Callithrix jacchus: one gene and its partners. The protein of the gene in region 1 purifies or fractionates together with the protein of each later gene. This does not show direct contact. Links are inferred from orthologs where the notes say so. Each region holds a gene or a part of one and is shown on either strand. Other genes may lie near its edges. The genes, in order: NUP37, NUP85 and NUP107.

What was found.
Region 2: the proteins of NUP37 (region 1) and NUP85 purify together in Homo sapiens (affinity purification with western blotting; 4 studies listed by BioGRID and IntAct, with this or other methods). This does not show direct contact. The link is inferred for Callithrix jacchus from reciprocal best matches to the Homo sapiens genes NUP37 and NUP85.
Region 3: the proteins of NUP37 (region 1) and NUP107 purify together in Homo sapiens (affinity purification with mass spectrometry; 7 studies listed by BioGRID and IntAct, with this or other methods). This does not show direct contact. The link is inferred for Callithrix jacchus from reciprocal best matches to the Homo sapiens genes NUP37 and NUP107.

The regions. Positions count from the first base shown.
Region 1 is NC_133510.1:105,138,276-105,141,903, reverse strand, and holds part of NUP37 (nucleoporin Nup37), read left to right. Parts: intron 1-605; coding exon 606-678; intron 679-2,487; coding exon 2,488-2,582; intron 2,583-3,628. UniProt on the Homo sapiens protein: Component of the Nup107-160 subcomplex of the nuclear pore complex (NPC). The Nup107-160 subcomplex is required for the assembly of a functional NPC.
Region 2 is NC_133506.1:131,121,912-131,126,232, reverse strand, and holds the start of NUP85 (nuclear pore complex protein Nup85), read right to left. Parts: upstream 2,881-4,321; 5' UTR 2,805-2,880; coding exon 2,772-2,804; intron 1-2,771. UniProt on the Homo sapiens protein: Essential component of the nuclear pore complex (NPC) that seems to be required for NPC assembly and maintenance. As part of the NPC Nup107-160 subcomplex plays a role in RNA export and in tethering NUP96/Nup98 and NUP153 to the nucleus.
Region 3 is NC_133510.1:50,461,621-50,465,886, forward strand, and holds the start of NUP107 (nuclear pore complex protein Nup107), read right to left. Parts: upstream 2,911-4,266; 5' UTR 2,844-2,910; coding exon 2,818-2,843; exon of another isoform or gene 2,231-2,817; intron 964-2,230; coding exon 872-963; intron 385-871; coding exon 298-384; intron 1-297. UniProt on the Homo sapiens protein: Plays a role in the nuclear pore complex (NPC) assembly and/or maintenance. Required for the assembly of peripheral proteins into the NPC. May anchor NUP62 to the NPC. Involved in nephrogenesis.

The DNA of each region.
Region 1 (3,628 bases):
CTGCTTAGGTTTTGTTTTTTAATTTAATAATCCATTGATGAACTACTGAAAAATGTATCTTAAATGCTTAAAGTATAAATAATACTCCAACCTTTAGCAAGTATGTCAGCTCTTATAGGTATAAAAATAGTATCTTATATAATCTGATTTATTTGGAGAAATAGAAAAACTAAGGAGACTGGATAAACTATGGATAACAGAAGAGGGCAAAGACTAAGGTAGATGTGTAACAATATTTTTAACATCTCTTGTTGACTGGCTAAAATGAAGATACTTTTTAAAATCTATCCTTTTATGCTTTTAAGAAAACATTTAAAATTAAATTCAAGTGCTGATTTAGTGTAAAATTCTATACTTATTATTGAAGAAGCAAATCCAGAATAAACTAAACTTTTATATGTTCTCTCCTACTCCTACTTTCTGTGATGTCTATGTAATACTTTTTACAGTGGAGCCACAACATTCTTCTTTCTTCCTCCATAAAAAGCAAGATTATGAGTTACTGATAACAACTTCAGTGACCTGGAGGGAAAGATCAGGGGAGGGAGAGACCTTTCCCTTCAAAGGCTGAAAATTGGAATATTTTTGTTTTTTATTGCTTCCAGATTTTGTACTTCAGCTGCTGATTTGAAAATTAGATTGTTTACTTCAGATCTTCAAGATAAAAATGAATATAAGGTATGTTGACAGCTATACAAATCTTTAGAGTTTATTTTAACACATGTTTATTTTTTGCTGTTTTAATTGAATTTATCCCAATTTAAAATGGCTTTTTATGGTCATCATTAAAGTATATAATTTAGGGTCTCATTTACTCTATTATAGGTAATAGTAACCAGGTTACTATATTAAGAACTATATTCTTAATAATGACTGCAGATTATAAATCTCGTATCACTTATTAACTTGAAATGTTAGGTAGGAACAACAAATAAGAAAGAATTAGAAATTCAAAGTTGGAAATATTAGGAATATAATCAACATGAACATCCATAGAGTAAGAGTTGAACTTCAAGGGAACAAATGATCAGCACAGCATAGCACAGGCCAGATTCCAAAGTAGTTAAGAGCACAGACACAGAATCCAGATTCCTTGCATTTAAACCTCTGTGTTATTACTTAGTAATGGTGTGACCTTGGTTAAGTAACCGAATCTCTTTGTGCTAATATCCTCAGCTGTAAAATGTGGGTAATCATAGCAGCTGCCTTATAGAATTATCAGCGTTGACTGAGCAAATTCATATAAAACACTTAGAATAATGCTTGTTACACAGCAAAACCCATATGTGTGTTTTCTATTACCATAATAATTACCCTCAGGTTGGGCTGAAATTCCATCATGTTTTCTTATAAGAATGGTATTGCCTTGGCTTTCTAATAAACCAAAATATGAATATTGTTATAAAACAAAGATAAATGAAACCTTTCCAATCATTTAGAAAATAGTAAAAAATTATGCTCTAAGCTATTTACAATTGGCTTAACCTATTGTACAGATTGGCTGATTTAAGGCTATAACAAAAATAACCAAGTATATAAATGCACATAAAATTTTGACCTATCCAAAGTTAAAATGGTAGTTATAATATACATTAAACATTCACGGTTAATTTAGTTTGCCTTGTAGGCTATGACAGAAGCTTTGGAGAGTGATTTGGAGGACCTGGGTTGGTGAAAGTTTTCAGCAATGTTTGACCCAAATCTTTTTTCTTTTTTTCATGTTACATTTCTACATAGTTATCAGTACTATACAGAACTGCTCTAATAACCTCAGAATGAGATCAAATTTGAATTTTTGGAAAGAAGGAAGGGTAGAAAAAATGATAATCATTAAAGTAATTATCTGACAGGCCTATTTAGGATTTCAACCATGAAGATTTAGACAGATTGAACCTTACCTGCTCACACAGTCCTCTACCATGCAACTTCTCATTTGTTGCTTCTCTGTCAAGGCAAAGATTTTTGTGTTGATGATGACTATAGTCTTACAACAACTAGCTGTCTTCACTGCTGGCAGTCACATTGAACATGTAAATGAAGGCATTAGATCGTGAAGTCCATCCTGTGTGTGTTTGTTAAGTAGTAGTGAGTATACAGAGCAACAGTTATAAGGTAAAAAACCTAGAGGCACTCTACCTCAGTACTCCTAAAAAGTTTTCTAGCTCTAATTTTTATTTAAGCTTTATATAAAAAGTGAGAAAGGAGGTGATATGAGGACAGGTACAATAAAAATGTATGTGTGTTTTTGTAAGAAATGCATACTAAAAAAGAAAGACTAAGCTAATAGTGTGTTGAATGATCAATTTCTTTCCAAGATAGACCTTCCAAAAAGTGGGTGTATAAATCATGCTTTAAAAATAGCAGATTGCTTAAGAAATATTTATAGAAAAACATGCAGTGAAAGCTTTTAAGGCAGTGAAGCAAAAATATTGTGTAGGAATATTATAGATTTTCCTGTTTTCTTACTAAGTTTTCTCTTTCTGTCAGGTTTTAGAGGGCCATTCAGATTTCATTAATGGTTTGGTGTTTCATCCCGAAAGTGGCCAAGGAATTGCAAGTGTGAGTGACGATCATACCTGCAGGTATGTTGCTTATGTTATAACCACATTTGTAAATTTTCATTTTATTTTAATGAGAATTATATTTTTTGAATGAGAAAAAAATGTGACTTTTATATAAATTCTATAGAGTGTTGTAAAAGAAGCATACCTTATTTGAACTGTAGGTATGACACAAACATGAGTTTCAAAACCAGTGAGTTGGGTCCTCGTCGCCGTTAATGAAAAGTTCCCTTGCCTCCCTTGGGTGTCTTTTATGTCTTATTTCGGATTTTGACATTTACGAAATCCAAATATGTATCGGGCTAGGCACAGTGGCTCACACCAGTAATCTCAGCTCTTTGGGAGGTCAAGGCAGGTGGATCACCTAAGGTCAGAAGTTCACGACCAGCCTGACCAACATGGCAAACTCCATTTCTACTAAACATACAAAAATTAGCCAGCAGTAATGGTGTGCACTTGTAATCCCAGCTACTTGTGGGGCCAAGGCAAGAGAATCTCTAGAACCTGGGAGACTGAGGTTGCAGTTAGCCAAGATTGTGCCACGGCACTCAAGCCTGAGTGACAGAGCGAAACTCCGTCTCAAAAAAAAAAAGCCCAAACATATATTGGATCAAATTCCCCAATACTGGACAAGATGCGTAGGAATAAAATGCAGTTGTCAAGTTACCTCACAGAGCCTATATAAGTTAGTGTTTAATAATGAACTCTAACTCTTATCTGCTACATAAGACTGATGGAAAATTTAGTGTTTTGATAAATTCAGAGGTTTCTACATAAGGTTTTATGTAGATACAATACATGTCACTATTTTGTTCTTGTACCCCACCCCCTAACTTAGGACAGATGAGGTAGCTATAACATTTTAATAGTGCCTAAAGCTGGAGAATATCACAAGTAAAGAACAAGATGAAAACAATAGCGGGTTGAAATAAGCTGAGCAGTCAGGAGTGAAATGAGTGCGTCAGTCATTGGAAGGGTGTCAGTTGCTTCATTTGCTTTAACAATACTTTGAGGAAGCAAAAAACTGCTGCTCTGCTGTTTTACATAATGTTTTATAAAACTGTGCC
Region 2 (4,321 bases), on another chromosome or scaffold:
TCCTGCCTCAGCCTCCTGAGTAGCTGGGATTACAGGCACGCACCACCATGCCCAGCTTATTTTTTGTTTTTAGTAGAGATGGGGTTTCAGCATGTTGACCAGGATGGTCTCAATCTCTTGACCTCGTGATCCACCTGCCTCGGCCTCCCAAAGCGCTGGGATTACAGGCATGAGCCACCGCGCCGAGCCCCGCTCTTCTTAAACTATGGGCAAACTCCTACCCTCCATTCCTCCCTCCTCTCCCTTAGCCTACGTTCTAAAAAACCTCAAACTTCTCCGGCTATCACCTGACCTAAAACCTAAGCATCTTATTTTCTTCTGCAATACTGCTTGACCATGATATAAATTGGACAATGGCTCTAAATGTCCATTGTCCATTTAGAAAATGGTACCTTCAATTTCTCTATCCTACAGGATCTAGATAACTTTCGTAGTAAAATGGGCAAATTCTCTACGTCCAGGCATTTTTTTTTACACACCAATCTCTCCCTAATCTCTGTTCTCAATGCAACCCATCCCAAATTTTCCTTCTCTCCCTTCCATCTGCCCCTCCTGCCTCTGCCAGCAACCTAGAATTCTCCTTGTCCATCGACCCTTCCGACCTTTCTCCTCCCTGCCTGTCGGAACCAGGCCCTAATCCAGGACCTAAGCCCAACCCCTAGAGCTTTCCTCCTCTTCCTCTGCCCACAACCCATTTCCTTATGCCCCTCCTGTCACCTCGCCACCTCATAAGTGCCCCAGCTTGCAGTTTAGTCCTGTGGCTACCTCCTCCACCCCTGTCTGACAATTCCCTCTTCGAGAGGTGGCTGGAGCCAAAGGCATAGTTAGGGTGCAGGTTCCTTTCTCTTTATCCGACCTTTCCCAAATCAGCCAATGGTTAGGCTCTTTTACATCAGATCCTCCAATACTTAACCCAGGCCTGTAATCTCGCCTGGAGTGACTTAAATGTCATCCTTACTTCTACTCTCACCCCTGAAGAATGCTTGATATGCATTTTATCACCCATTGAGTCCCTAACATTACAAAAAGCCACAGAAATTAGAATCTGGCCCTCAAACCCCACAACAGGAATTAATTGACCTCACCTTTAAGGTGTTAAATAATAGGGAAAAAGCTACCCAGGGGCAGCGTATTTCGGAATTACAAATGCTTGCCTCCTCTGTAAGATAGACCACAGCTACTTCTTCTTCGGCTCACAGAAGTTTCAGACCACCAAACCCACAGCGTCCAGACTTCTCTTCAGGACCTCCTTCCCCAAAGCCTTGCTTCAAATGCCGAGAACCTGGCCACTGAGCCAAGGAATGCCTGCAGCCCGGATTTTTTTTTTTTTTTTTTTGAGACAGAGTCTTACTCTGTCGCCAGTCTGGAGTGCAGTGGCGGGATCTCGACTCACTGCAGCCTCCGCCTCCTGGGTTCAAGCAATTCTCTTGCCTCAGCCACCCAAGCAGCTGGGACTACAGGCGCGCGCCACCATGCCCAGCTAATTTTTGTATTTAAGTAGAGACGGAGTTTCAACATGTTGGCTAGGCTGGTCTGGATCTCTTGACCTCGTGATCCGCCCGCCTCAGCCTCCCAACCGGGATTCTTCCTAAGCCATGTCCTGTCTGTGTGGGACCCCAATGGAGGTAGGACTGCCAGACTCAAACTGCTGTCTTTAAGTCTCCAGGAGCCCAACCCGGGAGCCCTCAGGCTGACTCTTTCCCTGATCTCCTTGGCTTGGTGGCTGAAGACTGATGCTGCCTGAACATCTCAGAGGCTCCCTGGAACATCACAAACACTGCGCTTCGAGTAACTGGTGGAGGTCAAGTCCATCCCCTTCTTAATCAACCCGGAGCCACACACTCCACACTGCCTTCTTTTCAAGGACCTGTCTCCTTGGCCTCCATAACTGTTGTGGGAATTGACGGCAAGGTCTCCAGGCCTCTCAAAACTCCCCAAGTCTGGTGTCAATTAGGCCAGCACCACTTTCCATATTCTTTCCTAATCAGTCCCACTTGTCCAATTCCTCTGTTAGGCCAAGATATCCTAGCAAAATTGTCTGCCTCCTTAACTATTCCTGGGCTATAGCCACACCTCACTGGCGCCCTCCTCCCCGAACCCATACCTCCTGAATAGCTCCTCTTATGTCCCCCTACCTTAACCCTAGGGTGAGGGACACCGCCTCCCCATCCGTGGCTACAAGTCACTCTAACTTTCCACTGCCCACCCCAAACCTATAAAACCAACTCCTATCTCACCGCCCTTCGCTGACTCTTTTCGGATTCAGCCCGCCCACACCCAGGTGAATAAACAGCCATGTTGCTCACACAAAGTCTGGGTGTATCTTCATTCAAAGCGCACGTTTTAACAGTCTCCCCAGAGAATAAATACGTTCAATAAACCTTAGACCACACAGGCAGAAGCTCAATGTACCGCTTGCAAAGCTTAACATAGCTAGAAGAAAAACATCAATACTTCTGCTCGGGCTGAACCCACTCTACTGCCCAAGAGGAAAAGCGAGGGAAATAGAAAGGCCAGGAAGACAAAGGAGGGAAAGGGATGGAGTGGGACCTTCGGGGCCAGGACTTGTGACTGGTGGCAGAAACCCTGCAACCACTGCAACTCGAGGGCGGGCACTTCGTTAACACTGCGACCTTCGGACAGTGGCAACTGAGTCAAGGGTAGGGGACGAGCGCCTAGCGGCCAGGAGGGAAGCAGACAAGCCTGAACTAACGAAGCAGACGCAGTTCTGGAGCCGCAAGGACGAACAAGCCTTTTCGGGGCGCCCTTACAGTGACTGTTGGCTCGCCATCAAGCTCCTCCATAGCGCTACACTCCAGCCTCCTGGAAGTCGCCCCACCGCCAATGCTTCCCGCTCAGGCCTCCAGCTCAGAGCTGGCTAAGAGAGGACCCCGCTGGGCGCCTCCTGCAGCGCCTGCAAGCCCAAACCCTCAATGCTGCGGGGGCCTCTCCTCTCAGCCACCCGTCTGCGGTCCTCTGAGCGGGTCCTTCCTTTCTGGCCTCGACAGCACGTCAGGGAGAAGAGCGCCGAGGGCAGACTGCATTCACGGTACCGCGCTCACAGGATCAGGCGGCACCGCGGACATCCCCGCGCCGGGCGGAGAAAAGGCCCCCGGAGACGGCGGGAGGGGCGGGAGGACCCTGGGGCCAGAGACGGTGCGACTGCGCGTGCGTGAGCTTTGCGGCGCTGGTGCGAACTCGGGCAGCGCTAGGGCCCCAGTGAGCGTACAACCTCTACCAACGCTGGGAGTCCTCGCCCCATCCTGGTCTCCACTTTAGTGTCGTCGCAGCTGCTTGTCCAAACCCCGACAGTCAAACGGATTTGTGCTGGAAAGCAATCGCCGCCACTCCCACACTAGAACACATACAAGAAGCACCCGGACAAAATCGACACCACTGAAGGCTGGGCGCGGTGGCTCACTCCTCTAATCTCCGCACTTTGGCAGGCCTAGGTGGGCGGATCACTGGAGGTCAGGGGTTCGAGACCAGCCTGGCCAACATGAGGAAACCTCGTCTCTACTTAGAATACAGGCCGGGCGCAGTGGCTCACGCCTGTACTCCTAGCACTTTGGGAGGGCTAGGCGGGCGGATTACGTGAGGTCCGGGACTTCGAGACCAGCCTGACCAACATGAAGAAACCCTGTCTCTACTAAAAATACAAATTAGCCGGGCATGGTGGCGCATGCCTGTAATCCCAGCTCCTCGGGAGGCTGAAACAGGAGAATCGCTTGAACCCGGGAGGTGGAGGTTGCAGTGAGCCAAGATCTCGACACTGCACTCCAGCCTGGGCAACACAGTGAGACTCCATCTCAAAAAAAACAAATCTTGGCTGGGCGCGGTGGCTCACGCCTATAATCCCAGCACTTTGTGAGGCCGAGACGAGTGGATCACAAGGTCAAGAGATCGAGACCATCCTGGTCAACATGGTGAAACCCCGTCTCTACTAAAAACACAAAAATTAGCTGGGCATGGTGGTGCACGCCTGTAGTCCCAGCTACTCGGGAGGCTGAGGCAGGAGAATTGCCTGAACCCAGGAGGCGGAGGTTGCGATGAGCCGAGATCCGCCACTGCACTCCAGCCTGGGTAACAAGAGCAAAACTCCGTCTCAAAAAAAAAAAAAACAAATCTTAGTGCTATACTTCCTTTATTATTTTTCTTTTAAGGCTGACAAAATGACATTTGAAGATAACAAAAGTACTTAGATTGTCTGACCAAGAGCTAGGTAACATTGAGGAAAATGTATTGGCAATATTCTTTGGTCTAAGACTGATATATACCAGTCATTTTACCCAATCATTCAAATAGGCTTATTAATAGAATA
Region 3 (4,266 bases), about 55 Mb from region 1:
AGGCGTGAGCCACTGTATCCAGCTTATTTACATACTTATTGCCTATATTATAACTTCTCTAAGTCTTGCTTTCAGTTTTGGTAAAATAGAATTAACAATACCTATGTCATAGTTACTGTGTGTTTATGTAAAATACAGTACTTTGTACATGGCAAGAGTTCAACAAATAACTGCAATCATTATTATTTGTGCTTAATTATTGATATAGTAACCAAATACTAATTGTTCTACAATAAATGTTAGCTGCTATTATAATTATCATTATTATTAAGTGCTTTAAAAGCAAAAAAGTCTTACAAGGCTGTCGAAATGAGCTAGGAGTTCGAGGAATAACCTGGTTTCTTGGTGTAGTATTACCAAAATTTTCATCTTGAGATGACTGAACTGTACAATGAGTTAAGAAAAGTTTTCCACGTAGAAAAGAGATCATTAAAGTGAGAACTAACAATATTTTTACTATACAAATTATGTGAATACATTTACCAAGAATAAGGTATTTTATGGCTACTATTTTTCTATGCAAAGGGTAAATGATTCCTTCTGCCATTTAAATTCTCAGATGTCAGTCTTAGATAACTACTGAACTAAATGTTTTTAGTCAGTTTTCAAATAATAAAAAAATCTAATTTCAGCAGAAGCTAACCACAATATGATAGTCAGTAGTAAAATGAAATATCTTTATTCTTAGGGAAACATAATCTCATTAAATTTTAGCATTATATTTACCAAATGACAGTTCCGCAGAGTGAAAAAAAATTTCTACAGGATTTTATTACAGCTAACATTTAATACTCTCATAAAAGAAAATTCTACAACACCGATTCCAAGCATGTTACAATTTTTATAATGATGCTTAAATCGCAAAGGATACTTAAAACTCTTTTTTGAGCACTCTGTTTCCGTGCAGTCCGTGTCACCTCTGCCTCCCGGATAACAGGGGATGATATATCTCCAAAGCCACTCCTAAAGTAGTATAATCAAGCTTACATAAGTGAAATGAGAATGTAGTATTTGTAAAAGAATTTTATCATCACAGCTGGAGTAAAGGGCTCTGAGTAAGTTGTGGTATAGGTCATTCCAATAGCCAAGTCTTAGATCTTTTGCTGAGAATGCACTCCTGGCTCCAAATCCTGCTTATTCTTCAAAGCCTTACTCAAATCTTACCTGCACAAAGACTTCTCTGACTTTCTAGTACTCACTATGTTATTTTCTCCTAAGGAATTATTTCAACACTTGGAATCTATAACACTGTTTTAGATAACTGCTTCATAAAAGTCAATCTCATTTCCCTTGTTGGATTGAGGAGTTATCTAATTACAGGAATTCTCTCTTAAAAGATTTTCTGCAGTCTCCAAAATGCTTTAAAACACAGGTACCACTGAAAAACAAACAACAACACAAAACAGAGCTTGTGAGATAAGAGGGTAAATAAAAGAATTCTGGTAAATGGAGCAGAATGATCCTTCAAATTATTTCAACCCAGGATGTCTCCTGTCCCATCACATCACTCCCTGTCATTTTCACTCAAAGGTCTAGAAACGAAATTGTGTGGATGAAAAGGCCTATGTTTAAGGCAAGAATCTGATATGCTTTTCCTCCACTTAAAACCTTCAGATATTCCTTCAGCAAGAAAGTATGGAAAACAATAACCAAAACAAAATTTAAAAGGTTTAATTAAAAAACAACAACAAAAAAAACTTCAGATATCTCTCTCTAGTCTATAGAAGTACAAATTCCCTAAAAAGCTATTTACAATGTGACCCCAGTTTAGAGGTTCAGTCTTATATTCAGCCACAAATATCGCTTTAAACATATTCTGCATGTGACTGCCGACAAAGCACGTACTTTTTTCTATATCCTAACACCTTTGAATAAGTTTCTTTTAAAACGACCTACAGTGGCTCCCTTGAGCACCTGGTCAACAACTACTTACTCCTCAAAGAGCCCCAGGTAGCCTGGAGACACACAGATGCAGGTTGGGAATTTGGTCCTTGTATTTACTACTAGCCTTCTAACTTTCAGCAAGTTCCTTAACCTCTTTTAGTCTCAGTGGTATCTATGAAAAAAGGATAACAGCACATATTTTCATAGAATTTTTCTTGTTCTGAAGATTAAACAAGCTAATAATATATATTCAAATCCTTTGGAACAATGCAGTCACATAGCAGTACTCAAGGTTTGGAGTACCAATAATGTACTATTATTACTCAAACACCAACTAGAAAGTTACCTTCTTCGAGAGGTCTTCCTGATAGTTATATAGTGACAGGGAGACTTAATCGTTCCAAAACACTTATCACTTTATATGCTTGGTTGTCTCCACTACACAACCAATTCCCCGAGGTGAAGGATCTTGAATAACTGATCTTTGTTGCAGCCGGCTAGCATAATACCCAGATTATAGAAGGAACCCAGTATTTGATGCTGGCACTTGTGATCAGAAAGTCTGGGCTGAGATCCCAGTATCTTCATTGACTGGCTTTGTGATCTCAGGCTGGTCACTCAGCATGTAGAACGCCGGGCTACCTACCCCGCCCACCTCAGGAAAGAATAGTGTTGCTGCCCCAAAGCGCCGAATAGATCGCAGAACACAGTGAGAATGTAGGGAACCATCATAATCCGTATCCCACCCCGACGCAAGCCAAGCGACCTTTTCCGCATTTGTAGCCAAATTTCCTGGCCTGGGGAAGGAGTCTTAGGGGAAGCACCCGGGACCTCCTCCTTGGCTTTTTCTGGGAGTCTAGTTTCACCTATTTCGTTTCGCCAGCAGGCGAGAGGGACAAGACTTCGGGCTCAGCTCCCACGATCAGAACTGACCTGTCCATGGCTAAAGCCTTTTCCATACAGAACCAAGGTTGGCTCCAGTTTAGTTACCGCGTTTTAGCCTTCCCGCTCTCCGGAAGCAAGCCTTTCGACCTGGAAGCACTCTCCCTAAAACAGCCCCACAGAAAAAGCGCAGGGGAGAAGAAACAACGTTCCCACCTAGCGCATGCGCGACTTGAGCCTACATGAGCTAGCCCGGTGGGCGCAGGCGCAAAGTTTGCCAACTTGTGCCTGGCTGGACCAGACAGGACCGGGGGCGGGACCTAGTCGCGTTTAGCCCGGAAGCGTTGCGGCCGCTTTGCCTGACCGATGTCTGTGGGCGTGGAACAGGCGTTGGGTTCTCCTACTGGGAAAAACGAATTATGTTGATAGTCTGGAAAAATGTGAAGTCATTACCTGGTATTCTCTCAGAAAGCGCCTGTTGTTGGAATTCAGATATGTGGGCTCTGCCTCGAGAAATTTCTGTTTCTCTCCCTACGCTCAGTCCTTTGTGCTGTAGCTTCATACAGTTTTTGAAAGTATTTTCCATAACTGCTATTTGTTCTTTACTTGGTATTTTTTGCTATGGAGGAAAAAAAGTTCACCCGTATTAAAAAGTAGAAAGGCAAGCGTAAAATATGATGGTATTGCCCTCTATTCAAAGTGCCGTGTAGGCAAATAGTGGTTATATTTTGGTCTTGAAGGAGTCACATTTTTGTTTTTTTTCATATTTGAAAGTAGTGACTGGTTATTAACTGATAAGATTACAAAAATAATATTAGACACCTCAGTTTATCCATTTAATAAGCCTGTTGATATGGTCTTTTCTGTTGCTGGCATTTATACCTTTCATTAATACAAAATAGGTAGTCCTTCATTCTACCTCGTGGAGAAGATAATTTGAAGGATCACGGGAACTTGAAGAATTTTTCAACAACATAGAGCTCTCGAATCAGATTCTCCAGTCAGATGATGCCATATTTATCAAGAGATCTAGCAATTAAAGAGTTATCTCTGTTAAGGTAATTTGTTTATTGGTTTTACTATAACCAGTAGGTATATCAGTTTATTTGTTGATTTCAGGTTCAGGTGCCCCATGCAATAGGTGGTTCTGCAATCCTCAACATTGTTAACCGAAACCTTGTTGAGTTTAACAAAGGTGCCATTGACAATCTGGGGAAAGTGAAGAAGTTGCCACAGACTTTTGGGCTTACACTATTGATACATTTGATCCTTATTGCAAATGACATTTTGGGTTTCACAGATATGTAGAAATTGCCAGCTTTTCTTGCCATATATTCCTGGTGACAGTGCTGAGCTTTTTTTTCTTTTCTTTTTGAGATTATGTCTCGCTCTAGTCCAGGCTGGAGGGCCGTGGCGTGATCTCGGCTCACTGCGAAGTCTGCAAGCAAGGAAAAAGCTACATCTATGAAAAAGCTAAGCACTGTCGGGTGCGGTGGCTAC